4 linked regions of the Pelodiscus sinensis genome follow. The protein of the gene in region 2 interacts with the protein of the main gene of each other region in a biochemical or structural test. Links are inferred from orthologs where the notes say so. Each region holds a gene or a part of one and is shown on either strand. Other genes may lie near its edges.

What was found.
Region 1: the proteins of RUNX1 (region 2) and DTX2 form a complex in vitro, tested with the Homo sapiens proteins (2 studies listed by BioGRID, with this or other methods). The link is inferred for Pelodiscus sinensis from reciprocal best matches to the Homo sapiens genes RUNX1 and DTX2.
Region 3: the proteins of RUNX1 (region 2) and FOS form a complex in vitro, tested with the Homo sapiens proteins (2 studies listed by BioGRID). The link is inferred for Pelodiscus sinensis from reciprocal best matches to the Homo sapiens genes RUNX1 and FOS.
Region 4: the proteins of RUNX1 (region 2) and ELF2 form a complex in vitro, tested with the Homo sapiens proteins (2 studies listed by BioGRID and IntAct). The link is inferred for Pelodiscus sinensis from reciprocal best matches to the Homo sapiens genes RUNX1 and ELF2.

The regions. Positions count from the first base shown.
Region 1 is NC_134731.1:15,621,522-15,629,089, forward strand, and holds the start of DTX2 (putative E3 ubiquitin-protein ligase DTX2), read left to right. Parts: upstream 1-4,557; 5' UTR 4,558-4,632; intron 4,633-5,272; 5' UTR 5,273-5,336; intron 5,337-7,568. UniProt on the Homo sapiens protein: Regulator of Notch signaling, a signaling pathway involved in cell-cell communications that regulates a broad spectrum of cell-fate determinations.
Region 2 is NC_134711.1:184,931,477-184,939,079, reverse strand, and holds the start of RUNX1 (runt-related transcription factor 1), read left to right. Parts: upstream 1-4,595; 5' UTR 4,596-4,610; coding exon 4,611-4,669; intron 4,670-7,603.
Region 3 is NC_134714.1:43,955,597-43,962,816, forward strand, and holds the start of FOS (protein c-Fos), read right to left. Parts: upstream 3,003-7,220; 5' UTR 2,853-3,002; coding exon 2,712-2,852; intron 2,058-2,711; coding exon 1,812-2,057; intron 1,433-1,811; coding exon 1,325-1,432; intron 1,206-1,324; coding exon 576-1,205; 3' UTR 1-575. UniProt on the Homo sapiens protein: Nuclear phosphoprotein which forms a tight but non-covalently linked complex with the JUN/AP-1 transcription factor. In the heterodimer, FOS and JUN/AP-1 basic regions each seems to interact with symmetrical DNA half sites.
Region 4 is NC_134715.1:44,504,742-44,511,957, reverse strand, and holds the start of ELF2 (ETS-related transcription factor Elf-2), read right to left. Parts: upstream 3,020-7,216; 5' UTR 2,842-3,019; exon of another isoform or gene 2,758-2,841; intron 2,426-2,757; exon of another isoform or gene 2,405-2,425; intron 2,338-2,404; exon of another isoform or gene 1,969-2,337; intron 1-1,968. UniProt on the Homo sapiens protein: Isoform 1 transcriptionally activates the LYN and BLK promoters and acts synergistically with RUNX1 to transactivate the BLK promoter. Isoform 2 may function in repression of RUNX1-mediated transactivation.

The sequences.
Region 1 (7,568 bases), on a different chromosome or scaffold from region 2:
GGTTCCAGAGAGGATGGAGAGAGGCTGTTCTCAGTGGTGGCAGATGGCAGAACGAGGAGCAATGGTCTCAAGTTACAGTGGGGAAGGTCTAGGTTGGATCTTAGGAAAAACGATTTCTCTAGGCCGGTGGGGAAGCACTGGGATGGGTTCCCTAGGGACATGGTGGAATCTCCATCCTTAGAGGTTTTTAAGTCCTGGCTTGATAGCGCCTTGGCTTGGATGATTGAGTTGGGTTGGTCCTGCTTTGGGCAGGGGGATGGACTCAAGAACTTCTGAGGTCTCTGCCAGCCCTGGGATTCTATGATTCTATGATCCTGGAGAGGCTCAGCTCTTCGAGGCAGGGACCGTCTCTGATTGTGTTTGTACAGCACCTAGCCCAGTGGGGACTGGGTCCCAAGCAGGGCCCCTAGGCAATTCTCTCATACAAAGGAATCGTTGAGTCTTTTGTGCTCCGATATTGTGTGGCTGGCTGTTTTACCTGGATACTTTATGCCTGGGAGTCAATGAAGACATATTATGTACATACAGAATGGGAAGCGACTGTCTAGGAAGGAGTACGGCAGAAAGGGATCTAGGGGTTATCGTGGACCACAAGCTGAATATGAGTCAGCAGTGTGATGCTGTTGCAAAAAAAGCAAACAGGATTCTGGGATGCATTAACAGGTGTGTTGTGAGCAAGACACGAGAAGTCATTCTTCCACCCTATTTTGCGCTGGTTAGGCCTCAGTTGGAGTATTGTGTCCAGTTCTGGGCACCGCATTTCAAGAAAGATGTGGAGAAATTGGAGAGGGTCCAGAGAAGAGCAACAAGAATGATTAAAGGTCTAGAGAACATGACCTATGAGGGAAGGCTGAAAGAATTGGGTTTGTTTAGTTTAGAAAAGAGAAGATTGAGGGGGGACATGATAGCAGTTTTCAGGTATCTAAAAGGGTGTCATAAGGAGGAGGGAGAAAACCTGTTCATCTTGGCCTCTGAGGATAGAACAAGAAGCAATGGGCTTAAACTGCAGCAAGGGAGGTTTAGGTTGGACATTAGGAAAAAGTTCCTAACTGTCAGGGTAGTCAGACACTGGAATAAATTGCCCAGGGAGATTGTGGAATCTCCATCTCTGGAGATATTTAAGACTAGGTTAGATAAATGTCTATCAGGGATGGTCTAGACAGTACTGGGTCCTGCCATGAGGGCAGGGGACTGGACTTGATGACCTCTCAAGGTCCCTTCCAGTCCTAGTATTCTATGAGTCTATGAAATACCCTCTAGCACTCTGATAGGGCTCTGGGAGCAAGATCATGTCTCAGTAGCACACAGAAGGGAGGCCTGTCTGCACAAAAGCAGCTCTCACCCTGCTCCCACACCCGCTTCTGCTGACCCCCAAAGGCAGGGCTTATTTTCTGCAGATGCTACTTCTCGTCTTCCTCTGTGAAAGTGGCTTTGAGACGACCCATTGTAAGGTCTGTAAACATGGCCCTGGTATGCAGAGCTAACGCCTTACAGCTGCTGGGATTGACAAATGGATTGGCTGGACTCTGCTCAGTGCAGCCTCAGTCTGGAATGCAAATTGCCCAGCCAAAGTGCAAAGGCAGATACAAAGTGAGGCGTGGTGATCCGTAGGCCAGGTCTACTCAACTTTGGAAGCCCTGGCGGGGGCCACAATGGTACTCCCAGCACATGCCGAGGGCCGCAACTTAAGTGTGGTTGCATATACATGCAAATATATATGCAAATATATGCAAATAGCTTTTTTCACAATGACCAGAATGAATACAAAGGCAAAACTACACAACACGCAGGTCCCATTTAAGTCAGTTCTGCTGCTATTAATAAAATGCAATATTTACCACATTTCCACCCATATGACAGCACTTTTAATGAGCAATGACAGTCCCGGAATGTAACTACTAAAATGCATCTCAACAGAAGACCATTCCATTGATTCGCCGTTGTGGAGCGTGTTCCCAGTGGAGTCCATGTTCAAAGGATCCCACTCGTGGGCCGCATATTGAGTAGCACTGCTGTAGGGCATGCTGGTAGCAGGCAGTCTGAAGAGGGTTTGAGCCTCCAGGATCTTTGTAGACACACACAAGCAAAATCGATTAGAGTTTGTCCAAGGAGAATCTTATCTTTACTACCAAGATGGATTCAAATTGCTTCATTTAACATGGCTACAAAGAACAGTTTGGGGATTTGGCAAGAGCTACATTTATGATGTCAGAGTATTATGATACCATTCCATCCGGCCATGTCACCACAGAGCATCCCCAGAGCCTCCAAAACATGGGCCCAACCATCCTCCACACACAGTTCAGCCAATGCACCTCAGTTTTGACCAAGAGCCTCCTTAAGACTGGAGCTTAGCAAAGAGATTGCTAAGGGGGGAGATATGGCAATGACATATAAAATCATGACTGATGTGAAGAAAGTTAATAGGAAAGTGTTATTTAGCACTTCTAATAATGCAAGAACCAGAGGTCACCAACTGAAATTAATAGGCAGGAGGTTTAGAACAACTATAAGGAAGTACAACATACAGTCAACCTGTGGAACTCACTGCCAAAGGATGTTGTAAAGATCTGGGTGTCCCTAACCTCTGAGGCTATGTCTATACTACAAGGTTTTTGTGCAAAAACCCATGGCACGTCCACACCTCAAGCGTGTTTTTGCGCAAGAAAAGCTACAGTCAATCGACAGAAGAGGGCTTTTTGCGGTTTAGGTATACTTCCTTCTACGAGGCATAACTCCTTTTTGCGCTACAGCTCTTGCGCAAAAAGGCATGTGTGGACGCTCCGCAGGGGTTTCTTGTGCAAAAAGAGCCTATCTGAAAAAGCACGGGTGCTCTGATGGCCATTCTGTGAATGGCCATCAGAGCTTTCTTGTGTAAGAGCATCCATGCAGAGTGGACGCTCTCTTGTGCAAAAGCGCATCGCAAAAGCAATGCGCTTTGAGGTGTGGACGCACTTTTGCGCTATAAGTTTTTGTGCAAGAGGCTTTTTGCACAAAAACTATACAATGTAGACAAAGCCCGACTGCCAGAAGCTGGGAGTAGACGACGGGATAAATCACCTGAAAATTGCCCTGTTTTGTTCATTCCCCCCGTAGTTTCTGGTGTAGATCAAGGTTAGAGACCTGGGCTAGATGGACCATTGGTCTGACCTAGTATGGCCATTATTATGTTTTTTAGCTCGCAAACTTACTGCCACATGTGCATCCTTGGTAAATCTGTTAAACATTTAAACCCTCCATCCCTGTTACTGAGATCAGAATCTGACCCTCCCAAATTCCATAGAAAAGAGCAACCAAAGCAGTTCAAAGGCATGGAAGAGAGCTAGAGCTATAAATCAATTGCTAAGCAACCATACCAATCTCCCTCTGGTCAGATACAAGATTTCAACAAAAGGCATCATAATAAAAACTACCAAAGTCTGGGAAAGGGGGGAAAGCAAAGCCAGGTTGCCCTCTGCTCCCTCTACCTGTGTAGGACTGTTACCTGAAAATAATTCATGTAGTCTTTTATAGCGGATCCTGATTTTTGCAGGGGAGAAACTGATAATCATCACCGCCCTAAGCTTTCCCATTTTCCATTGGAGGCCCAAATCTTTTTCTCTCTTTGCAGCTTGTCTTCAAGGCGGGGAACAGAAAGGCTCTTTAATCCTCCAGGTAATTCTCTTCCTTTGTGCTGCTTCCATAATCCTGCCTGTGTCACCCACAGAGAAAAATGTAACGATTAGTGTTCATCAGATATAGGTATTGAAGCTGCCCCTGTTTCTGCTTCAGACCTATAAAGCCTGTTTGATGTCAGAGGGCTAAAGCGCTAAGAGCACAGAAAATTTAACAGGGATTGTGGATTAATCTAAATGCGTAAATCTTCTTTAAAACACCAGGTTACTGACAACTAATGTACAATTTAAAAACCCCCTAGATTCTCTATGTTTTCTGTGCTGGAAGCCTTAGATCATAAAATAACCATCTTTGAAGGGCATTCTCCTGCCTCACTAGTCTCTGTAACAGATTGTTTCCATTGTTACGCCACGATAATACAATGGAATCAGATTCCATGTGGGATAGCAGCTTCCATCCAGCCTCTCTCTCAAAGTGCAGCTGGACAGATGTCATTGCCCTCTCCTTGTGGCAATGAGAGGTGTGGGCCAGGGGCTCTCAGAGACGATCTGAAAGGAGACAGCGAGTTCATGAGCCGGAGGGCAGAGGGGGGGCTGGGGAAGCTGTTGGGGGTGGCAGGGGATGCATAGGAGAAGGCTCTTGCACCGCCAGAGCAAAGGGCATGAGAAGCAGCAGCTGGGCTGGGACATGGAGTGGCAGGAGGGGGCCTGGAAGTGCAGACCCCAGCACTAGGGGGTTATGGGGACCCCCAGTAAAACTCCTAAAGCTGGGGTGGGGCGGAGCTGGGGCAGCCCCCTAGAGGCCCGGGCCGGTGACTGCTGCTGAGTCCGGGGCAGGGAAAGTCCAAGTTAGAGGCGGAACGGGGGGAAGCCGGCCAGGACTACAAGTCCCAGGTTGCCCCGCGCGGAGGGAGCATGCGCGCTGGGCCTGCTGTCTCCGCTGGGAAGGAAGGCGCTGCCCTCAGTAGCTCTTGCTGTCTCCTGCCCGGCGCTGGCCGGAGCGGCGCCCGGCGTCACGGTGAGGGGCGCCCCGGGCCTCTGAACGGCGCGGGGGGGTGACTGTGGGCTCTGGGCGTGGGGGAGGGGTGACTGGGGTCTGGTCGGGGGGCAAGAGGGTGTGACCGTGGGGTCTGGGTGTGGGAGTCAGGGGGGTGTGACCGTGGCTGGGGGGGGTCTGGGTGGGGGCGGGGGAGAAGAGAGTGTGACGTGGGGTCTGGGTTTGGGTCGGGGGGGGGGAGAGGGAGTGACCGTGGGGTCTGGACCTGGGGGGAGTGACCGTGGGGTCTAGCCCAGGGTGTGTGTGTGACCGTGGGGTCTGGCCCGAGGGGCAGGGGAGTGACCGTGGGTCAGGCCTGGGGCGAGAGGGGGTGACCGTGGGATCTGGCCCCGGGGAGCAGTGGGAAACAGGGGGTGACTGGGGGGTGTGGTTCTGGGGGGGTGGCCAAGGGGTCTGGGTCTGGAGTTGGGGGGTGGGACCGTGAGGTCTGGTCACTGGGAGAATCCGAGGTGTGTGTTGTGGGGGGGAGGGGAGCTAACCAAAGTCTGCTGGCTGGGGGTATCTCTGTCAGGTGATAGGAGGTGATGGGCGGTGTAACTTGGGGTTCCCCTCGTGGTTTGGCCGGGAGTAACTGGCTCCCTTCGTTTCTTCCTTTTCCTAGCGAGAAGTGCATCGCTGCAAATTCAGGCGACTTGTCTGTGCCTAGCACTTGGACCACTCCTCAGGTTTGGTCATTTCTCATTATTCTGGGGGGTGCTTCGCATGTGCACTCTGTGTGACCTGGAAATGTAACTTCCACTTTGGTATCCATAATTTTTTTTCTTCCCTGCCTCAGTCACCCCATTCCCTCTGATCTGACAGGGTTGTCCAGCTCTGGGGCTCTCATTGCCCCTCCTTGCAGTGCCCAGCTGGGATACTATAGTATCCCCTCTATCTCCCTCACTACACAACGGTGAGTGGCTGCCATTTTCAGCCCTCTCTAGCGTGGCACACCCACCTTTGCAAACCATCTGTCAGTTATTCCCCCTTGCAGAGGGGGGTGTCCAATTCAGCATCACTGCTTTCATTTTCAAAATCTGTTGTCTCCACTCCCATATGACCCTGGTCTCTGGCAGGTGCTAGTGGCAGACACCTCCTAAAGTGCATGGGGAGACTCAGCCCACTTAGTTCATTCCCAAATAACTATTACCAGAGTTGAAAGTGGCACTAATTAAAGATAGTTGGTTTTTAAAAAAAATGAGTAATAGTTTCAGATCACACACCTGCCCAAGACTTCCTGCCAATGTGTGTGGGTTAAAAATCACATGCTCCTATTTTTAAAAATGTTTCGCCCTCCCCCATTGCTGTGTGAAAAAAAAAAAAAACCCACATACAACAGGGAAAGTCTGGAAACTGTGCACAAGGTGCCCTCAATGCACAACCAGTAAAAACAGAAGATAGCTGCACCAGTGCAAACTCCAGGGATGGGCAAAGCTGCATCATGTGGGCAGTTGTTTGGAATGGGGTAAGCTGCACTTGTGTAGGTCATAGCTTTGCCTGACCCATGCTTGGGTTTGTGACGGCTGAAGCTAAGCCGGTTGTGTGTGTCATCTTTCCGCTACGGCCCGGTCCATACCTGGAAATTGCCCAGGCTGAACCAAATCTGTGCAGCTTCCTTGCAAGATAACTTACAGTCAACACCTCATAAGCTGATATCCACATTGTGAGGCGGATGTGAATTTAGCTTGCAGAGGGTTTGTGCTGACTTAATGAAATCATCAGAGAGAGAGAGAGAGAGAGCGTGTGTGGCCCAGCCTTTGCTCGTTCCTTGTAAAAAGCTCTTTCTGACTGATGGGATTTGAAGCTGATGGTGACCCCTTATGAGCTCAGTTTATTTTCATTCTCTCAAGTTATGACATGTTTAGGCCCTAAAGATGTTTTTAATCTTGCATCTTTTAAAACACTTTGCTCAGCTACTTGGAAGAAGTTCAGTGGAAGCTGCCTTTTAGGGAAATGAGAGGGGTTAGATTAGTTTTGACTTGGGGTTAACTTTTCAAAAGTGTCACAGTCCCATTTTCACTGCTGTGAGTGAGCCACATCCATCTTGACTGATTTTGCCTCATTAATGCTGGTCTTCCACTTGATAAGTAACTTCCTTCTTTCTATATATAGCTACACACACACACCCCTGCCTCTGTAATTTCCATTCCAATTCATCTGATGAATTGGGTTTTACCCATGAAAGCTGATGCCCTAATAAATCTGTTAGTCTTTAACATTCCATATGACTGACTCCTTGTTGTATTATCCCCATGATACTGCTGAGGAACAGAGAGGGTAACTTTCCCAGGGTCGTGCATGGGGTCTGTGTCAGAGAAAGGAATTGAGCCCGCATCTCCTAAGTGTCAGGATAGTGCCCTAACCACCACATCCCTCTTTCTCACTAGTTGTGCTCTTTCTATGGCTCTACCATATAAACAGTAATTTCTGAGCCTGATTCTTTAAAAGGATGCTGACGGCTTCTTAATATTTCCAACCAGAGTCTCTTACCTATGTTACAAAGAGCATTTGATTCACTAAAATGGAACTTGTGATGAAAATCTAATTTTCTTTTAGCTGTTTGTGCTGATTGTTTTTTGTGATTCTCTTGGCCTGGGCACTAAATACTGGTTGAGCTAAGTTTCACTTTTTGGCTTTTATTCAGTTTCACTTTCAGGAGCTCATTGGAAACCCTTCCCCCCCAGGAGACTGTTTGCTTAAAAGCAATTGTTTCTTGTTTTGCATTTGAACAGTCTCCTGAAATATCTGTGTTAAAAACCTTTGCCATTGGAATGAAAATAAAGGAATGGAAGCATTTCTGTGGGCATTGGGTACATATAAACTTGTGTATAAGGAGGGTTGGCCAGTCTTGAGTTGACATTGTTTCTTCAGTGCAAACCTTCCTGACTAAGGGTCTGATCCTACGAGGTGCTGAATGT
Region 2 (7,603 bases):
CCATTTTATCCTCATGAGTGGTTGGCTTGTGGTCTGCAGAAAAGTCTGTGTTGAGCGGGGTGGGCCACAGGCCAAAAAGTTTGAGAACCACTAACCTAGATGGATGTAATGTCCATGAGTGTGTCTGTATTAATACAACAGCAAGAGTGGCATAGGAGGAAAGGCCATGGTGAAAGAGGGGTTAGAAAAAGGTCTGATTTCTAAAAACTAGCTTCGCTTTCCTCAAGTTTCATGCACCTTGCACTGCAGTCGTGCACCTGGCATCCCTATTACACATTCCTGCATCCTAACTCTCCCCAACTCACCTGTGCTGTCGGAAGGCTACACGCTGCCTTCTACTCCCCCTCTAGGCCACCAGAAACTGCAACTGCTGTCTCTGAGCTGGCAGCCCTGTGCCTCCTTTCTTCCTGCTCCCTCCACAGACTCCCAGCCCACAAGGAGCACCAGTGACAGCCAGCGGAGAAAGCAGTGGGGGCAAGAGCAATCCATGGAGAGGGGCTCCACACTAATGGCTCCCTGATTCTTCTGCCCACAGTCACCTGCTCCAGGCGTCCCCATTGCAAACCTCTGACCACAGGAACAGCTCTGTATTAGCCCCTTGCCCCAGCATCCCAAGGCCTTCTTCTTCCTGAAAATCCATTTACCCCGGAACAACCTTTCACCCTGGTGTCAACAGCCCCAGCAGCTCCCCTTGCTCCACTACCCCCACCTTGCCAGGGTCCCCAAGCTGACCCAAGCTGAGTACCTCCACTCAGAGCCAGTAAGTTCTGTGCAGCTTCATTTCCTAGTAGGGATGTAAGCGACTAGTTGAGTAGTCGACTAACAGATAAGCCTAGGCTTCTTGGTTAGTTGAGTTGATGATTCAAGTACTCACATCCTTCCCTTCCCCCCGCCCCCCTCTTCCAGGCACCACCACCTTCCACTGCCTCTGTATCACAGGCAGCAAAGGGGTGGGAAGCAGGAGCCAGTGCTGGCAGGAGCTAGCTTAAAAAGCGAGGGATGGGGAAATTGCCATGTACAGAAGATTGTCCATGGCAGCCTGGGCTGGCCGCAGGCAGAAGATTCTCCGGCAATAGCTTCTGTCCGCAGAGGGTCCAGCTCTGTGCTGGGGTCCCCCATGGACAGGGGCTGCTGGACCCAGAATGAGTCGTGACTGAGCAAGCCTAGCTCTTACTAGATTTAAACTGCAGAGTCTCATTGGGTATGTCTACACTACAGCACTAATTCGAAATAACTTAATTCGAATTAGTTAATTCAAACTAAGCTAATTTGAACTAGTGCACCTAGACCTAAAAACTAGTTCGAATTAGCGTTTTGCTAATTCGAACTAGCATGTCCACATTGAGTGGACCCTGAACCGGGGTTAAGGATGGCCGGAAGCAGCGCTGGCAGGGCATCAGATTAGGACTTAGAGCGTGGAGCTGCTGTCTCAGGCTAGCCGAGGGCTGTGCTTAAAGGGACCCGACCCCCACCCTGGACAGACAGTTCTCAGGGTTCCTCTCTCACTTGTCTAACTTGATGAGGGACAGCAAAGCAGTCCTGGCTTGGAGTGCCCTGAGTGCCCACACTCGGCACATCACAGCACTGGGCCATCAGACCAGCTGCACTTGCCGCAGGCTGCCATCCGGGGAGGGGGGTCAATCAGGGGCCTGCAGAAGAGCTTCCACCCTGAGGAGCCCGCAGAGCCACCCCAGTCCTCCCCATCAGGGGCTCGTACCCCATTCCTCCCTCACCTCCTGCCACTTACCCCTCCCTAGCCCCCCTTCCTGATATACAAAATAAAGAACACGTGTGTTCAAAAATAGAAACTCTCTTTACTTTAACAAAACTCGGGGAGACTGGGAAAAGGAGGTGGGAGAGGGGAAGAGAGAGGGTGGGAGAGGGGAGGGCAACTAAAATGATCAGGGGTTTGGAACAGGTCCCATATGAAGAGAGGCTAAAGAGACTGGGACTTCTCAGCTTAGAAAGTAGGAAACTAAGGGGGGATATGATAGAGGATATAAACTGAGGGGGGATATAAAAGCACGAGTGGTGTGGAAAGGGTGCATAAAGAAAAGTTCTTCATTAGTTCCCATAATAGAAGGACTAGAGGACACCAAATGAAATGAATGGGTAGCAGGCTTCAAACTAATAACTGAAAGTTCTTCTTCACAAAGCAAATAGTCAATCTGTGGAACTCCTTGCTGCAGGAGGCTGTGAAGGCTAGAACTGTAACAGAGTTTAAAGAGAAGTGAGATAAAGTCATGGAGGTTGTGTCCATGGAGTGCTATTAGCCAGGGGGTAGAAATGGTGTCCCTGGCCTCTGTTTGTGGAAGGCTGGAGATGGATGGCACGAGACAAATGGCTTGGTCATTGTCTTCGGTCCATCCCCTCCGGGGTAGCTGGTGTTGGCCGCTGTCAGCAGACAAGCTACTGGGCTAGATGGACCTTTGGTGCTCAGAGTCGGGGGTCTCACTGGACCACCTTGATTTTCATGCAAGCCTGCTCCTGGGTGGCCAGGCTCGAGCCGTGCCAGGTACAGGGTCTGCTGGCTGGGTGCTGGAAGGCTTGCACCTGGCACGGGCACCGTAGCCAGTCCATGCCCCTTTAAGGGCTCTGGGGCCGGGAGGGGGGCAGAAGAGTTTCCCTGGTGGTGCCCAGAGTGGCCACCAGGGAAAGCTGGGGCGGGCTAGCCTCCCACTAGTTCGAATTAAGTGGCTACACAGCCCTTAATTAGAACTACTTAATTCAAACTAGGCGTTAGTCCCCATGGAATGAGGTTTACCTAGTGCGAATTAAGCGCTCCGCTAGTTCGAATTAAGTTCGAACTAGCGGTTTGTATGTGTAGCGCCTATTAATGTTAATTCGTTCTAACGTCTGTTAGTTCGAATTAACTTTGTAGTGTAGACATACCCATTGGGAGTAGCTCCCGGACCCAACACAAACAGGGACAGAGCGCCTTCCCTTATTGACTAATCATGTAGTCAATAACAATTCTATCGTCTACACGATTATTAAAATACCCACGTCTTAACATTCCTATTTGCTACTCCTGTTGCTTTTTGGGGTAACGAGTGTTGACTATACATTTAAGATTATGGTTGTATGTACAGTATTTGCAAATACAGAAAAAGCTCAGAGTTACAAGCACCAGACCATTTAACCACAGACTTCATCTAGAACCAGAAGGATGCAATCATGCAGCAGCAGAAAGGGGGAAAAAACAGAGTAATGTAAACTACTAAAAAAAGGGGAGGAGTTTAAAAATTGATAGGGAAAGGAAACTGTCTGAGTGCTTGTTTCATTTAAATTAAACAAGCACAGAAACAGTTAAAAGCAGCATTGGTTAAAGCAGCAGATGGTGAAAAGCAGCATTCTTCTTCTGCATAGTAAAGTTTCAGAGAGGTATTATATTCAACTGTAAACTTTTGAAAGAACCAGCATAACGTTTTGTTCAGCATTACAACCAGCCTCCATTCCCGAGGTGTTTGTAACTCTGAGGTTCTGCTGTATGTAAAGTGGATCATTAGATTGTTTGTACAAAATGTCCTCCATGGTGTGGCACAAAAGTAGCTAGCTGTGCATCTCTCTCAGTGAAGAGGGTTGGAAACTCCCTCAATGAGTAATTCTGGAAGCAATTCTGTTGTGTCACCTTTTCATCCAATGCAGAATATTTGTGGTGTTAGCTATTCACTATATTTTTGGTGCACGATTATGAAAGTGAGGGAGAGAAAAAGGAATGAAAACACAAAATTTGTCATTGAACTCTTCATCTGGCCTTACAAGATGAATTTAAGGAATTTGACACCCTGGGAGACTCATGGAAAAAATCAGTATTTTTAATGTTTATGTTTTATTATTATTTATTTTATGTATTTGTTTAATTTTTACAGAGAGACATTAACTGTCTTTCCTTATCTAATTCATTTTGCTTGCCCATGCACAGCTATGAAAAGCTTATAATAGAAATATTTTTGTATGTATGTAGTGGAAAATGCCAATTTAAACAGGATGTTTGAGATCAGAAGGACTGACCCAGAATCTGTGCTGGGACAGACATGAAAGCATAAAAATTTCATTCACAAAGGTTTTCTGGGGCCACTTTTTTTTTAAAGCCTAAACAGAGTCACGCACATGCTGGCTCGGAAGCTCCCACAGTGTTTCCAGAGCCGAGCTGATTGCTTTCAAAGTTATGCAGAGCTACATCCTCAATGGACAGCAGCCATGAACAGGACTGGGAACAATTACCAGCTGACGGAGAAGTTCGTCGGCAGTGGGTACACTTTTGCCAGCTACTACCCTTGGATGGCCCAGGGAGAAAGAGGCAGAGTCAATTCCACGCCTACTTGTTTCCTTTCCCGTCTTTCGCCACAGTTTCAACTGATTTTGATTACTCTGGCGCCAAATAAATGAAAGCATCTCATAGACATATAATCATCCATCACTGTGAAGAAAGGAAAAATGCTTATGTACGGCATGTTTATAAATACACTTATATGAAGAAAGGATAGCTCTGTCGTTTTTAATCTCGTGCTGCTGGGTAGCTAGCTGAATGTCATCAGGGCAAGCTGCCTGTTTTATTTTTTCTTTAGTCCTGACATGGTCTTAGGGGCACACTAGTGGAGCTTGTGATGATAGGAATTGAGAGATCTGTCCCCTCCACAGTTCTAAAGGTTAGTGCTGATTGGAGGTAAGTGATCGGAGGCTTTTGAAAGCAGGAGTCAAGTGTGTTCCATGCATATATATTGTAACAGGACCACATCAAAGGGAAAAGGGACTCTTAACAGATTTAGTCTGAATAATGTTGTACAGCCCAGGGTAATAAAATGATTCCATCGGGGAGTTGAGTCAATACCAAGAGAAGAGGAGCAATAGAAGTGACAGCTAGTATGCCCTTTGCATGTGTGTGTGTGTGTGTGTGTGAGATATGTAGGCATTACTTCATACGTTATGTGCTAATATTCCTTGTAAAAGCATGCAAATCTTTTTGACTATTTGGCTACAATAGAAAAGCTGTTTATAGAACATGACATTATTGCTACTTTTGGTTTGCACTGCACGGAAGAATGTCTTTTTTAACAAGCGCAGCATTTTTAAGGCAACTCTTGAGATATTATTTCCTGAAAAAAGAAAAGAAAATACTCTTTTCCATGTTGTGTGCTGAAAATAGAAGAAAATAGCATGAAAATATTATCAGACCATGTAAATTTAGCTTTTTGACCCTCATTCATTGTATGTCATATCAACAGATCTGCTGATATGCTGCTATTTGCATTTGACTTGGACACACAAACACTAGCAAAATGTTTGCCCTTTGTAAACTATTGTCTGTGCTTGGCTTCATAGAAATCATTAATGCAAAACTTCTCTTCATCTGAATCTCCAAAAAACATTGAGTGGGAGAGAAAAGCTTTCAGTAAAATGGCTGAAATGCTGTGGCAAAAATGTGATAGTACGATTGTTTTGTGTCCAAATGTAGGTATAATCAAATTGCACCACATTGTGTTGCATGGGAAGGGCAGAAAACAGAAAGAAAGGCTAATTTGATTATACAGACTACTTCTGAATTGCTAACCCTTGGCAGTAACTTCCTAAAAAGAGGGAGAGTAGTAGGCAAAGTCCTTAGCCCTTTTGACCCCACATGTAGGTCATCTCTTTATTATGGCACAGAGAATATTGTTAATACTTAAATTATTTTTTATATAAGCATTACATAACTAATGCAGCATGGCCAATGGTCATAACCTTTTTGTGAGTCTTGGTGTTTTTCAGAAAGCCCCAAATCCTGAAGACAAATGATGATATGAGAATCTCAGTCTTTTATTTAAAATTAGCTCCAAAAGGAAGTTTCTAGCACCTATGACTGCAGAAAAAAATTGAAAACATGTTCCAGTGTAATCTTAAAGCTCAAAATCCTGAACATAAGCTAAATTAATCAATCAAATTAAAAGAACTTCAAATTTATTTTAAAGATGCTCTCATGCATTTTGGGGGCCTGACTCATGATCTCTGAATGGAACAGGGTTTGCAACACTATCAACAGAACAATAGTCAGAGCTGGATGTTGACTGCAGTCTAGAGCTATGTCTTCCAAAATGGAGGATGACCTTTGCTTCCTACAACTTCACCTACATTCTTACACAACTATAACTCCTTCTCCCACTGGTGGCAGCTAACAGACTTCACTGGCTATGAGGGGGGGCAGAGTAAATTGCATGCTTTAAATGGTATTATTAAATTAGTTTTCCAACATCACTACTGCCACTGCTACCACCATCTCTGTAAATGAGAGGGATAATTGGTCTTTGATGCAGGATGCTTCCTAGCTCACTCCATACCACCCCTTGCATCCAGCTAAGCATGCTTAACAGCCATAATTTAACTCTACAAGGCTATTTTCTTCCTTATTCCTACAAATGAAAGAAGGGGAAATGGAATGTATCCTAGATATAATTGCTATTTGCATATGTGCCCTAAAGAGTTAAAACAAAGCTTCTCCAATCTGGTGTGAGTGCAACAGCATAGTTACATAAACCACACCTGCATTCCCACACTGGACATATGGATCTGGTGAGCAAAGTAAAATATTACCTTAACAGACATTTTCATAATGAGTCTGATCTGCATCTAATTTAAACCAGACAATTATTTAAAAAAAAGTAAATGGGGATTGTCTTTTACTTGCAGGATTAGACCAAAGTGAGTGTTATTCACATATTCCTCAACTTAGACAATTTCATGGCTATTTTCCAGTCTCTCATACTGAGTCATAACTATCTAGCCACTCCTCTTGGCTTACTAGCTACTGTACTGACTGAGCCAGTATCTCAGTGGCAATTCTTACATGATTGCCTCAGGCCAGTCTTCCAGGATATATACTGTTTTATCCCTGAGTACCTTTTAGTAGAGGTCAGAAGGCTGTCGGCCCTTTCATAGATTTACTCGAGTGACGTTACAGCAACACAATTTAAGACTCAAGTGGTCTAATTAAAAACAAGAAAAAAAGAAAAATAAGCTTAAAACAGACAAAAAAGTCCTTCTCACATATCTAGTCCTTTACTCGGCAAGACTGAAGCTATGAAAAACAGACATGAAGTGGACTTGTGGTTAAGACAATAAATCGTGTCTCAGGGTTTAGGGGTTTGGTTCCAGACTCCTGTGAGACTTTAGGCAAATCACTTAACCTTTCTGCCTCCGTTTCCCATTTGTAAAATTGAAATAATTTCTTGTCTGTCTTGTCTATTTAGATTGTGGCTCTTTAAGAGGGGGATTCTTGCATACCGTGTGTTTGTACAGTGCTTAGCACAATAGGGCTGTGGTCTGGGATAGCACCCCTATACTCTACGATAATACAAATAATAAATGAGCAGTAGTGGATCTTGGTTTAATTGTAGAAGTACAAAACTGTCACTTTACCAGAGGGCTCCCTGCCTTTCTCCTGTGACCTCTTCAGTACTCCAGTTTGTCTGAGGCTATGACTACACAGCAGTGTTATTTCAAGATAACTGACATTATTCCTAAATAACAACGTCCATGTCTACTGTACAAGCAGTTATTTTGACATAATGTCAAAAGAATGTCAAACTGGAGGACTTCTTACTCCGACTTCTGTAACCTGCATTTT
Region 3 (7,220 bases), on a different chromosome or scaffold from region 2:
TATAGCTATTTATCTCTATCTACTAGAAAATGATATATTGTCTCTTTCCCAGTTAAGATGGGTCATTGCTAAAGTCATCAGAACACGATATTGCCAGGAACACAGTAGTTATTGTTAAATCAGCTGCACTAGATACGAGTTGGAGATACCCAGCACCAGGTTAAATTCCAATCATTAAACCAATAGATTAATTAATGCTAGTGAATACTAAGTAGGGAAAAGAAATCACCAACCCAGCCATGTTGGACATGCTACAGACTACCAGCTCTCATGGATGGGTCACTGGGGACAAGACAAACTCCATGCGATTTGCTACATCTCTGGAAGAGGTCTGAGGCCTGGCTGCAGATCATTCTGCAGGGTCCTTTAGCACCGGACCGGCCTACGCAAGCCCAGGGGGAAGGACGCTTTGCCCTCCCCTAATCTGGGGTGTCGGGCTGCAGGAACCCCCCCAGGAAGAAGGTGGATCCTTTGTGGTGAAAGGCCCCCCACACACATACAGCAGCAGATGGGAGGCTCGGGATCCGCTGTGTTCACCCCTCGCCCTGCAGTCAGTGCCCTGGAGCTAAGGCCCCTCACAAAGCCAGCAGGGTAGGGGAGCTGAGCGAGTCGGAGGAGGGCTCGTTGCTACTGCTGCCCTTCCTGTGCGCGGCCGCACAGCTGGGGAAGGAGTCGGCCTCGGGGTAGGTGAAGACGAAAGTAGAGGTGTAAGTGCTGGGGCAGGGGGTGCAGGTCACCACTGGGGTGCAGAGCGGCTCCAGCTCCCCGCACGCCCCGGCCGCCAGGGGCTCCCAGTCTGCCGCATAGAAGGATGAGGAGCCGGCTAAGTCCATATCGGGCACAGAGCGGGCAGTCTCCCGGGACGCGTGCGGGAAGAGGAATTCATCGAAGGGCTCGGGCTTCAGCTCCAGGCCGCTGCTTCCTTTGGGAGGCTCCGGCAGGGGCTCGGGCTGAGCGGCCTCCTGTATCATGGGCAGAGCGAAGGCGGCCTCCTCGGACTCTGGGGAGCTGGGCACAGGCGCCTCGCTCAGGCCGCTCAGGTCCAGCGAGGAGACAGCGAGCTCCTCGGAGAACTGCAGCTCCTCCGGGATCTTGCAGGCTGGTCGGTGCGCAGCCAGGATGAACTGGAGCTTCTCCTTCTCCTTCAGCAGGTTAGCGATCTCGGTCTGCAGCGCCGACTTCTCCTCCTCCAGCTGATCGGTCTCCTGCGGGCACAGCGAGAGGGGAATGAGACAGAGTCGCAGGCGTGCCCGGTGCCCCCTAGGGGCGCACAGGTGCTCGGTGCGCGGCTTGTGGTAGGGGTCGGAGGCGGAGGAGAACTTACCGCTTGCAGCGTGTCTGTCAGTTCTCGCCTCCGGTTGCGGCACTTAGCTGCTGCCATTTTGTTCCTTTCCCTCCGGATCCTCCTCTTTTCCTCTTCCTCTGGGGACAGCTAAGGAGAGAGAACGAGCACGGTTAGAATCCGCTGCCACCCCACGCCGGTGAGCCCTGGCTGCCTCACCACCGCCAGGCCAAGCTCCCCTTCCGGGTCTCTCCCGCCTAAGCCATGTTAAGGTGCTCATAGACTGCGTCTAACAGGCATGCCAAGGAAGGTTCTGAGCAGGAGAACCAAGCGAACTCCAGCTCCTCGGACAGTCCTATTGGCGCTGAGCCGGGTTATCCCTCAGCTATTCACCCTTCCCATTCAGTGCAACTGATAGGTCAGTGTCTTCTGCTGAGCGGCTCTCGAAGAGCCGTCAGAATTGCCCTTCCCCTTCTATCCCCCTGCCCAGATGCTACCTAGGGACGATCGCAGAGGGCTGTGTACTCACCTGTTCGATTTTGCCCCTTCTTCCAATGCTTTGCCCTCTGCCTCCTGCGCTTTTGACAATTCCAGCTCTCGAATAGGCGCTGGCTGGAGGAGTAGGGACCCCGTAGAGATGGGCCCGGTTCTGGGAGGGTGCCACTGAAGAGATTAAGGTGGGCTGTACCATCCATTGCAGATCTGGACTGGTAGAGATGGCAGTCACTGTGGGTACGAAGTTGGCACTTGAGACAGCTAGGTCCGTGCAGAAATCCTGAAGACACAGAGAATTGATATTAGTAACAGAAGCCTAGGCCTGGATGAGGAGGAACCCCCTCTCCCCGTCCTGCACCCCCTCACCAGGCATATCAGACACAGTGACCCAGAGGCTTAGTTCTGTGCTATTTTGAGCCAGGCCTTCAGCCCCCGGAGCTAGGCAGGCTCAAGCGCTGCGCTACCATCATCAGACTCCACATGAAAAGGGGGTTTGTTATAAATATCCCTGACGTCTGCACTGACGCAGGCGCCGCTCCGGAGTCTCCTCAATGAACTCTCGTTTTATCAATGAAACCGCTTTACACACCCGCCGCAGAGCGGAGCCTGGGCCACAATCCCTCTTCCCTGTTGCAGGGACCAGACAGTGGCCTCCCCCACATCTCAGAGTAGCCTTCCCTCCCCCCCCCCCCCGCACACACACACTAACTCTCCAGGACAGGGAGCTAGACTGCTGCCTCCTTCTCTCCCATGCACAGGCACCGAGGAGAAGAGGTGCGCCCAGTGCAGGACAGACCCTTCCTGATGCGGGCTATCTCTGCACCTGAGTTGCCCCGTCTGTCACTGTGCGATGTTTGGAGGCGCAGACTGCTCCCCCTGCCCGCAGCAGTTACTGCCCCGGGGGCCGTCACCAGCCAGAGTCCCGGTCCCTCACCTGCTGGTTGACAGGCGAGCCCATGCTGGAAAAGGAATCCGCCGGGGAAGTGTAGTAGGTGAGGCTGTCCCCGGCCGGAGAAGCGCTGCTGCAGCGGGAGGAAGACGCGTCATAGTCGGTGGTGAAGCCTTGGTACATCATATCGTCTAGGCTAGGATTGTCCAAACCCCGTTTAGGCGGTGAGGCTGTCCCGGTTGACTGTGTGTCTGTCCGGGCCGACTATCCCTCTGTCCGGATTGTCTGTCCCCAGCCGTATCTCTCGTCCCTTTCCCGGCTCAGTCACTCAGATTAGCTCTGCTGCTGGAGTAGAGTGCGGAGCCCCACCTTTTAAACCCTCCTTTGTGAATGAAGCCTATGTCGTCACTGGCAGACCCAACATCTGTGGGAGGGGGGACGGCGGGATGCTCCGCCTCTAAGCTTTCACCACAACTTCCGCCTCCCTCTCCCATCTTTTACGTAATCCAGTGGGCTCGCCACTCCATGTCAAGGTGGTTACCCTGAGAATTTTCAAGGGGTCTGAGCCGCTCAGGGTCAGGAAGGGCTGCTGGTGTTCCCCCTTCCATAATGGTACAGTCCCAGCTCGGGAACCCACTGACGCAGATATCCTTATATGGGATACATCCTGTGCAAGGGGGTGTGACTGACGGGAACCGCTCCAGGCTGCAGCCAAGTGAGGAGCGCGAGTGTGTGTGTGTGTGTGTGTGTGAGAGAGAGAGAGAGAGCGAGAGAGCGAGCGCTTGGGCTATGTAGGCAGATTGCAGGTCCTCTTGTTGAGGCCAAACTCAGGTTCAAGTCCCTGCTGCAATAGCGTCCCACCCCCACAAGGAGAATCACGTTCGGTTAGTTAGAAACCTCCACAGAGTTCATTCACCTTTAAGGCCCAAAGGTGACTTTTTCAGCCCTTCTGCTATCTGCACCTGCTTCCTCTTACTCAGCCCCGTTCAAATAGTTCTAAACAAGTTCGATTGCAGCTATATTACCACATGATATTAAACTTGCTTTTCACTTTACATACACGTCTGAAGACAAGGTCCCTGACCAGACGGACTCAGCTGTTAACAAACAAAATACAGAGGAAGGTTGGGAAAAGGATAATAGGGGCAGCTTGGGAAAAGCAGTGTAAGTAAGCAGCAGAAATAGAAGGCCAGTCTTGTTAGTTTCATTATCTTTTTTTATTGTTGATTTTTTTTTAAATATCATAAGGCTTTCCTAATACCTTTTAAAGGTAGATGGAAAACAATAAATGTCTTTGCTATTATTTAGGGAAGAAGGATTGTGCTGTTTTGTTGGTTGTTAGAATAACTTTTAAATTATAGCTTAGCTGTAAAAGAGCTGTTGATCATGAAGAAATGAACAGTTGTGTTGGGGGGGTTGTTTTGTTTTTGAGAAGCCTGTATTTTATGTTGTACTTTTTATCCAGCATATTTAAGTATCTGGTGTTGTCCTATCTTATCTAATATTTCTAAATTAATATGTGCATTCTATATAATAAGCCTGTTAATTGTATACAAAGTGTCATAAAGTAAGTAGATTTCTTGTTATTTGCTGTGTAGTACTGCCCTTGCAGGGAGTCAGGTACTGTGCATTTCACTTTAGGATATTGTAAAGTATTTGGAGAAAAGTTAATCACATTTTTGTTCACCTTTAAAATGCTTTTATATAATGAAAACTTGCAGCTGGAGGAACTGCCTTTATAAATCATAGAATCAAAGAATCATGGGACTGGAAGGGACCTCGAGAGGTCATCGAGTCCAGCCCCCCGCCCTCAAGGCAGGACCAAGCTCCGTCTACACCATCCCTGACAGATGTCTGTCTAACCTGTTCTTAAATATCTCCAGAGAGGGAGATTCCACCACCTCCCTTGGCAATTTATTCCAATATTTGACCACCCTGACAGTTAGGAATTTTTTCCTAATGTCCAATCTAAACCTCCCCTGCTCCATTTTAAGCCCATTACTCCTTGTCTTGTCCTCAGAAACCAAGAGGATCAAAGTTTCTCCTTCCTCCTTGTGACATCCTTTTAGATATTTGAAAATCACTATCATGTCCCCCCTTAATCTTCTTTTTTCCAAACTAAGCAAGCCCAGTTCATGAAGCCTGGCTTCATAGGTCATGTTCTCTAGACCTTTAATCATTCTTGTCGCTCTTCTCTGTACTCTTTCCAATTTCTCCACATCTTTCTTGAAATGTGGCGCCCAGAACCGGACACAGTACTCCAGCTGAGGCCTAACTAGTGCAGAGTAGAGCGGCAGAATGACTTCACGAGTTTTGCTTACAACACACCTGTTGATACAACCTAGAATCATATTTGCTTTTTTTACAACAGCATCACACTGTTGACTCATATTCAACTTGTGGTCCACTATGACCCCTAGATCCCTTTCCGCCATGCTCCTTCCTAGACAGTCGCTTCCCATCTTGTATGTATGGAACTGATTTTTCCTTCCTAAGTGGAGCACTTTGCATTTCTCTTTATTAAACTTCATCCTGTTTACCTCTGACCATTTCTCTAACTTGCTACGGTCATTTTGAATTATGTCCCTATCCTCCAAAGAAGTTGCAACCCCACCCAGTTTGGTATCATATGCAAACTTAATAAGCGTACTCTCTATCCCAATATCTATGTCATTGATGAAGATATTGAACAGTACGGGTCCCAAAACAGACCTTGCGGAACTCCACTTGTCGTCCCTTTCCAGCAGGATTTAGCACCGTTAACAACAACTCTCTGACTACGGTTATCCAGCCAATTATGCACCCACCTTATCGTGGCCCTATCTAAGTTATATTTGCCTAGTTTATCAATAAGAATATCATGCGAGACCGTATCAAATGCCTTACTAAAGTCTACGTATATGACATCCACCGCTTCTCCCTTATCCACAAGGCTCGTTATCCTATTAAAGAAAGCTATCAGATTAGTTTGGCATGACTTGTTCTTCACAAACTCATTTTCTGCATTTTGCTTTATATGCACTGCAAAAAGAGCTGTGTTATCTAGTGGTTATCAGTGCAGTCACCCTTATCCAAAACCTATTGAAGTCAATAGTGAGGCTCCCATTAACTTGAATGTACTTTGGAACCTACCGATATCATGGGCCATTTTCCCAATCCATCCAGAATATATCATTTCACTTGCAGAAATTTGAATGGCAATTATACCTGTTTGTGTCCAAGAAAAGGTGCAAGTTATATCTACTTTGTGAACATAGATTGTATCCCTTTTATTTTTTCTTAAAACAATATTTATTATACAAGACCCAACAAACTTAACTAAAAACTAAATAAAAAATGATGCGGTGTATACTGGGTGTTATGGAGCAGTTACTCACTAAAGAAACACACGTATTTTATTGTAAATAAGTCCGGATCCCTGGCATAGAACTCTTTCTGGCTATACTTTGGGACTGGAATATTACAGAATGTACATGTGGAAAATATAACCGCCTCCATTTCCTGCATTGGGGAAAATGTTACACTCCTGTGCAATTATTATTCCTGTTATTAAATATGTAGAATAATAGCTGGGAATATAGTGAATAATGGGCACAGGGAGGAGTCGTTAGTTAAAGTCCACCCTGTGCTTTGAAGGAGGACAGTGCCACAGGGGAGGCTATTGTTATTTACTGGGCACTGAACTTCCTAAAAAAGCTGTATACAAACAGTAATGAGAGGGAATTGTTGAGATATGCCCTGTGCCATGGTATGTAGATAGGGGGCTGCTTGCCTGGGAGACTGCCAAGCAGCGGTGGTTTCAGGCAGAGGAGTTTTCTCCTTTCCCAGAGTTTGGATTTGCTGTAACTCTCGTGGCAATGAAGTTCGGAGACACCCACCCACAGTGGGGATGTCAGGCAGCCCAGGCTCAGGTCAGGCCAAGTCAGGAGGAGCCAGACCGCAGACTCGCCTGGCACGGGAGACAAGAGATCGCATAGCTATACATAGTAACAGGGAAGCTGCAGCGCTGAGTCTGTTTACAGCAACAAACAGAGCCTCGGGCGCAGTCTCCAAGCAGGGAACGTCACAAGATCCAGGCTGGGATGATCCTGCTGGCAGCAGCTCCTGCTGCCTGAGCTCATGGGCTAAATGCAGCGCTTGATGCTGCTGCGCGGTCACCTCCATTCTTAGAGATCTGGGCCACGGGGGCGGAGGAACCGGGCCAGCGGCTATGTCAGATCACCAATACTGGCGGTCGCCCCCCCTCCCCCGGGGCGGCGCGGGGAGCCTCTCTGATCTCTTCTGCAACTCCTGCCCCAGGATAGTCTTGCTCTCTCCCTGCCCTGGGACTGGGCTGCCCCAGCTACAGGGTAGCCAGAAACTTGCTGCGATTCTGGATTACTACCCCAGTTGTGCTGGTAGATGTTCTGGCTTCTTTCAGGCAGATTTCGGAGCTGGAAATCTTAGTCTTAGTTCCATCTAGTGTAGAGAGCTATGGCATGGGCAGAACTGTGCCTAGCAAAGTGAGGCTGAACATAGTTGCAGACTGAGTTCTGCGGGGCAAGGAGCTTGATC
Region 4 (7,216 bases), on a different chromosome or scaffold from region 2:
TTAAAAACTAACAGATTTATTTGAGCATAAACTTTCATGGGTATAATCCACTTTGTCAGATGTAGCTAGTACTTAGACGTCAGTAGTTAAAAATCCTCATGGTTCAGCGCTTAAGATCTCTATCACCTGTACAAATCTTGTGCATCAGTATTTACTATTATTACTGCATGTTTTTGTATACAAGTCACTAATCCCTTTCTGAATTCTGCTAAACTCTTGGCCTTTGTTATGTTGTGTGGCAGTAAATTTCACAGATTAATTGTATATTATGTGAAACTGTTTCCTTTTAACAGTTTTGAGTTTCTCACTTTTCAATTTCATTGAATGTCCTGTGGCTCTTAATTTCTTAGATAGGGTTAATCAAACTCCACCTACACTTTTGGCTATTCATTATTTTTATGTTTTTATCATGTCCCTCACATCTCCATGCTAAGGAAAATAATCCCAGTCTTTTCAATTTTTATAAGATTTTTTCCATTCATTGACTCAAACTTTCTCTAACCCCACCCCCAAATTCAGCAATATCCTTTTATACTGATCTTGAGGTTGCTTTGGCATCTATCGTGTGGTTTTAAATGGCCACATCATATCATTTAGGCCTATATTGTTTAGAGTAAAAAAATACTTCACCATTACAATATTGTTTCAAAGCTGTTTTCTGTATTTCAGATTTCCACATACAGAATGCCTACATTTGTGTCAACCCTTATTTCATGTTCTTTGTCTTGGCTAATTATAATAGTAGCATAGAACTTTGACATTTTGTGTGCATCAAGAAATACATAAGAATGTTATCCAATTTTACTGTAGCACTGATAATTATAGTAAATTTCAATTCTGAATCATACGTAGCATATATTTAAAAATTTGGACTACTGGATGACATAACAGGAACATATACAGTGTATCCTCTGGAAACAAGTAGTATTCCACAAAAATAAGGCTCTTTTGACTACTTTAAAGGCTGTTGTTGCTGTTCTTGTTAAAGTGGTAAAATAGTTAAAGACTACTGGTGGAGGATAGGGTACTGACTAATGATAAGGAGGGAACCAGAAAGAGGAAATGAAGAATTAACTGAATAAAAACTGTAAAGGGGCTAGTAGTTAAAAACAAATACCAAAACTGATAAATTTTAATATTTTACAAAATATCAATATGAAAGTTTTACATAAGAGTTAAAAAAAAGAAAAGTCTTAGAAATGAATAATGATAGTTAAATATTGCTATTTTTAAATAATGTTAAAATAACAGAAAAGGATTTGGAAAGTGAAGGTGGCAGAACTTTTTTTTTTTTTTAAGCAAACTTGGGTAAAGGCTACCAGCTAACCAACTATCATAGGCAAGCTTAGGCTCCCATGTTACTTGGCCCATCCTGTGTAACTAAACAGGAGAACGTTTCTGTAATATTTTCTAATGCCCTCTCAAGTTACCATACAAATATGTAAAGTTCATATTTATCCATCAGAGGTTCTGCTTCTGGACTGACAAGTAACATGAAGAAACATGGAATAGGTATTTTCCTGAAAGCAGGAAACTAAACACATGAAGTTTCCTGAGGCTATGTTTATACTACAGCTGAAGAGAACTGCCATCATGTCTGGCTGGGAATCTCCCCTCCCATTCCAGGATCTGAGCCCTCTGGTCCCTAACATATCTGCGTTTACAGATCATCTAAGCGACAGGACGGGAAACCCCTTGAATCACCATAAAACCAAGCAAGACTCATCAAAGAGCTAGATCAGCATAAGAACTAAGTCAGAGGGAAACACAGCCTCGATGGGCTCAGTTACTGGGATCCCAATCTAGCCTCCTTCCCTGGAAAACATTCGTGTGTGGACTGCAGGCTGATTCACACCGTTGTTCTCAACAGGCATAAAAATACTTCCAAGCCACCAACTCCCTCCGCCCAGCAGGCACGCACACACGGTTGAAAAAACTGACTCCCAGAACTAGTAACACACAACCCACCGCTACTCATCACAGCCACGACGGCAGGCAAAAGTGGTTGTCAGCCCCTCTGCCTGACCCTTCCCCCAGGCGCTCCACGCAAGGCCGAGCGGGGAAGCAGGCAAGCGAAATACACACGAAACTGAAAGTGCAGGCGGCGGCGGCGGCGGCGAGGGATGGCGGCGGGGTAACGCCGACGGCGCATTCGCCAAGGACCGATTCAAACTGCTCCATTTCAGTCCGCCCGGGTGCAAAGCTCCGCGATGGCCTCGGGCAACCGGCACGGAGACAGCCCCGGGCGGGGGAGGCTGCAGCTCACCCCTGCTCTCCGGAGACGTCTCCCTCCAGCCTGTTTGTTTGCATAGCACCAAAGTGCGCCAGCCCAGCAAGTTCCCCTGCCGGCGCGGCGCTGCGCTCCCCCTCCCCTGGCTGACAGCCCGTCCGCGGCGGTAAATACCTACAGCACCTGCCCCCGCGCCATCTCCTCTTGCTCCGGCTGTGGGAGGACGCCGCGCCGCTGCCCCTGGGAGCGCTGCCCGGACAGGTCCTTGCTCCTGCCCAGGACACGCGCCCGTGGCTGGGGGGGGGGGGGGATCCGGAGGATAAAAACACCGGCGGGGCTAAGCACATCCCAGCCGGCCCCGGAGCGGGCGAGGTAACACCCCAGCCCCGCGGGAGGGGGCCGCCGAGAGACAGCGCCGGGGACACCACCTGACCCGGCCCCTCCATCCCGCCCGCCGTCAGCCCGCTCCGGCCCGCCACGCGGGGGGGGGGGGGGAACCCGCCCGGCCGCCCCCAGGCCGGACTCACCCCGAGTCCCTGCTGCCAGGCGCGCGCAGGATCCGGCCCCCTGGCGCACCCGGGGCGGAGGCAGCGACACCCCTTCTCGGCTACCTTGTCCGTGTGTCAGGGGCAGGCGTCGCGTCACCCCGCCTGCCCTAGGCCGAGAAGCGCCCGCCGCCAACGCCGCCGCCCGGAGAGACTGAGCCGGGGCCTCCCCAGCAGTAGCAGCCGCCCCGGGGGGGCGGGAGGGGGCTTGGCCAGTGTAACAGCACAATCTGCCCTGCCTCAGAGCGTGCCCCTGTCCCTTCTGCACATGCTCGCACTCCGAGCGGGCCCAGCGGGCATGCGCGCGGCGCCCGCACATGCCCACTGGCGACGGGAAGCTGCTGCCCTCACTCTGCCCTTTGGCTCGCGAGGGCTGCTCGCGCTGGCCAAGGGAACGCCCGCCGCGCGCCGGGCAGCCGAGCCGGGGGAGGAGCAGGCGGGAGGGATGGAGGAGCGAGCGCCCCGAGCATGGGTCCAGCAGCAGCAGCTCGTGGGAGTGACTGGCGGGTGAGTGACTGGGGAGGGGAACAGATCAGGGGAGTGGGGGCGAAGGAGCAAATAGGGGCCGAGTCGGGGTAGGTGTAAAGCGGTGTGGATTGGAAGGAGGAGCAACAGATCGACTTGGGGGAAGGAGGCAGCTTGAGCAGCAGATCACGGTGCTGGAGCAAAAACTTGGAGGAGAGAGGAAGACAGAGAAACAGAGCGGGGGGTCCGAGGGGATGGAGGCAGAGAGAGCGGGCTTGTAGGATAGTGAAGCAGCTTTTGAAGAATCTGGACGATCAGTGGGATGCAAAGATGGGTGACCAGGTGTAGGTTAAGGGAGGGAGGAGGAGCAAAGCGGAGAGAATATAAGGCTAATAAAAGGGCTTCATTGGATTTGGATTGTCATCCGTGGAATGGAATCTTAGATTGACTGAATAAAACTAGAATACAAGTATTCAGTATCTTCAAATATGTTTGAGTGGTTTTGTCAGTACTGAGATTAATTGTGTATCGATGTCCATGTTTTCCCCTTTCGATTTTCCAGACTGAGGTATGATTTCTGTGTGGAAAATGTTATGATCGATGTTGTCTAGATGTATCAGTTAAAATATAACCAAGGGTCTCGCTTTCAAGTGATTTTCAAAATAGTTTTTGCTGTGGATTTTTTATTTTTGTATTTCAATTCTTATTTGTTATTATTTATATTAGTGATGTTTTTAGTCGTATGTTTTCTCTCTTACTTTGGAAAAAGGAGGGCTAGTACTGTAAGACATTTTTAAATGTTAGTAAATATCTATCAACATGTTAATAGATCATAAATAATCCTGCTGAGGAAGTACTTTGACTTTTCCTTCCTTTTTTTTTCCAGAGGTCATCAGTACATGTTTTGTTCTAGTAATATGTAATATTATAACATGTGCTGTTGTTTCTGTGTTTTGCATATCTGCTTTCTGTAATAGTGTCATATTTATTGAGAAGAACTGTTAAAATGTAATTACATCAATGTACAATGAAAAAAATGAAAGATTTGTATGGGGTCTAAAACTCTGATGCATGAGTACCCAGATATCTGTAAAAACTAATTTTTGCTAAAATAAAATAATGATCCTTACTGTCAGTAGCAGCTGTCATTTTCACAATAGAGGCTGTATATTAATAGCCCAATCACTATTCATGCTTTTAACAATGAAAATAGTAAAAACACTTTCAGTGATAGTTTCTGTAAACATAGCTGCATCCAATAGTGACTACCTGCACTCCATATATGTTTGCAGGATTGGAGCTTACTTTGCTATAGGATGACACAGTAACTATGTTCAGGTTTTTTAGCATTCAGACTAAAAAAGAGTGAGATTTTTTGGTCAACAGCTCTTATTGGAAAACTCCCAACTTTCTCTTCTCTTCCCTTTTTCACTTTAAACAAGGCTACAGAACTTAGAGTTGGTGATTAGTTTTCCCTTTTTTTTCCTGTGGTGTACACTGATTAGACTTTATCCTGGATAATTTTCTATGTTCTAACCAAGGGGGGAAATTAGATCTTGGTGGAGTAGTATGATATAAAATTATTGCATTAAGACCCTTGTAGAGATTCCCTCACAGAATTTCCCCATATCATTCAGGCAAGGAAGGGGAGATTCCCATCATCTATAGAAAAGGTTGTAGAGCTGTCTCTGAGCCTGTAGGTTTCTCAGGATCCAGAGCATGCCTCCACACCTTGGCATTTCTGAAAACCAGGACACTTTCATGTAAGTATCTAAAAATGGATTTGAAAAACTTGGTCTCACATAATGAGTGAAATGACATATGTGAGAATAAGAGAAATGAACACATGAGGTTATATATGTAGTAAGATGAGAGCCTGAAATATAAGCCCATGAATCACAGGCCTGATATGAGGCCTAGCTAACAATGGTCAAGACTTTGCTCACAGCTTAGTTTTATATTAGCAATGGATTGGCCCCTGCTTCTGTCAGTATCACACAGAGCTGATAGTGTTTTACACTAATTAGTAATAGGCACAGCTGTAAAACAGTAATTGGTACTGCCATGGATTGAAAGCACATTCCAGAAGGATGGTAAAAAAGGATCTTTGTACCCATGCATTTCCCACAGTAACAGGGACATACAGACTCCAGTTCAGAAAAGGGTCTAAAATGACAGCATGATGGAGAGAGCTGTTTTGATTGAGCCACCAGATGCAGAGTGATGGATGATGTCTAGGTAACATCAGAGTGATGTGTAACTTGTTTGTAGCTGTATATAAAGTTGCTTGAATGGCCTGTCTTTGGCCTAGGAGGGAGTAGTACCTCCCACTGACTAATCTGGTCCATTGTCAGGGGGTATATATGTGTAGTAAAGCTTCAGGGGGTAGCTGAGTTAGTCTGTACAGGATAAACTTAAAAAGCAACAAATGGTATGCTAGCACTTTATAGACTAACAAAACATGTACATGGTATCATGAGCTTTTGTGGGCACAGTCCAGTGGGCTGCCCAGACTCCTTTGATCTTTATCTGATTGTGTGGTCTTTGGGGATTCTTTTGGAGTCTGCTGTATTGACTACTTGCACAAAGTCAACACAACACATGGGAGGAGCACACACACACGCATGCAGCCAAACAGTTATCATCGACAGAGAAGGAGACCTGTCAGGATACCACATCACTCGCTCCTGACTACCACACTATCCTTGAAAATCTTCTCTGGTAACATTTTTTATATGTAAAAAAAATCTCTAAAAAAAATGTAAAACTATTAATAAGTGCAAATAAATGATCATATATGTTTATTTCTGAAAATGAAGTCATACACACAATGTAGACACATTCTCATGTAGTAAGAGTTCCTTTTGAAATAGTTATGTTAAAAATATCTTACCAGATAACAGGTAGTGTCTGTTGAAAGTCCATTCAAGTTTTCTACAAATATAAAATATATCACAAGATTATTAGAGTAATCCAAATGTATAAGACATTTATTATCCCCTCAGTGATGTGGCATGGAAATTCTTGGCTTTCATACTAATGTGTATCAGGAGTAACTACACTGAAGTCAGTGAGTTACATTGGTATAAAGTAGGGATGTAAAATCCCATTTAATTGATTAACCTGTTAAAAAGAGGGGGCCTCTTCAGCCCAGCTGGAGTGCCCTCCCTGTGCACAGCAGGCCCTTAGCATAAAACAGCTGTAAGGTCTAGATTGACTCTTCTGTTTGCAAACATTTAACTTCATCTGTGCTAAAATACCATAGTGTTAGCTGTGATAGAATAGAATAGAAATTTATGTGCAGATTATACATACAAAACTGTTAAAAGAAAGTTATTAAGTATAAAGCATAAATAAGACCGTGCAACTTTAATTCAGCCTCCTTGTGTGTTTGCAATATGATACAGTCTTTAATTACATTATCACATACTATGTTTTCCACGGGTCCCTTCCCTCACCCTAGCTTCTTTTCCCAATCCCATTATCCTAACCTAGCAAGTCCCAATCTATACTGATCAGCCTTCTCATCCCAATCTCGGTCTCCTTGCCCTACCAGTCCCAGTTTTCCTCGCCTATGCCAACCTCCAGCCCCAGTTGCTACACTTCAAGCTCCTTTTCTCTAACTCCTACCATCACTAGCCTCCCACATGTCCAGTTCTTGCACTATCTGCATTCTAATCCAGCAGTTTTCTCCTTCACATTGTGTAAGCATTAATGGGGGATGATCTTTGGGAGCACAGAAGAGATGGGCTTCTTGCTCTTACTTCAGGTACATGAACCTTCAGCTGTAACTACAAGAAAATCCTGCTCACCCTCAAGCAGCAGCATGCCTAGTGTGGATGGCATCTTCAGGGGTTTTAGCTGTTAAAATCTAAGGCCCAGATCCTCAACGATATGCCTAATTCATCTTTATTTCAATGGTAGTTAGACCCAGATCCTTAAAAGTATTTAGGCGCCTATTGATTTTTTTCCCCCA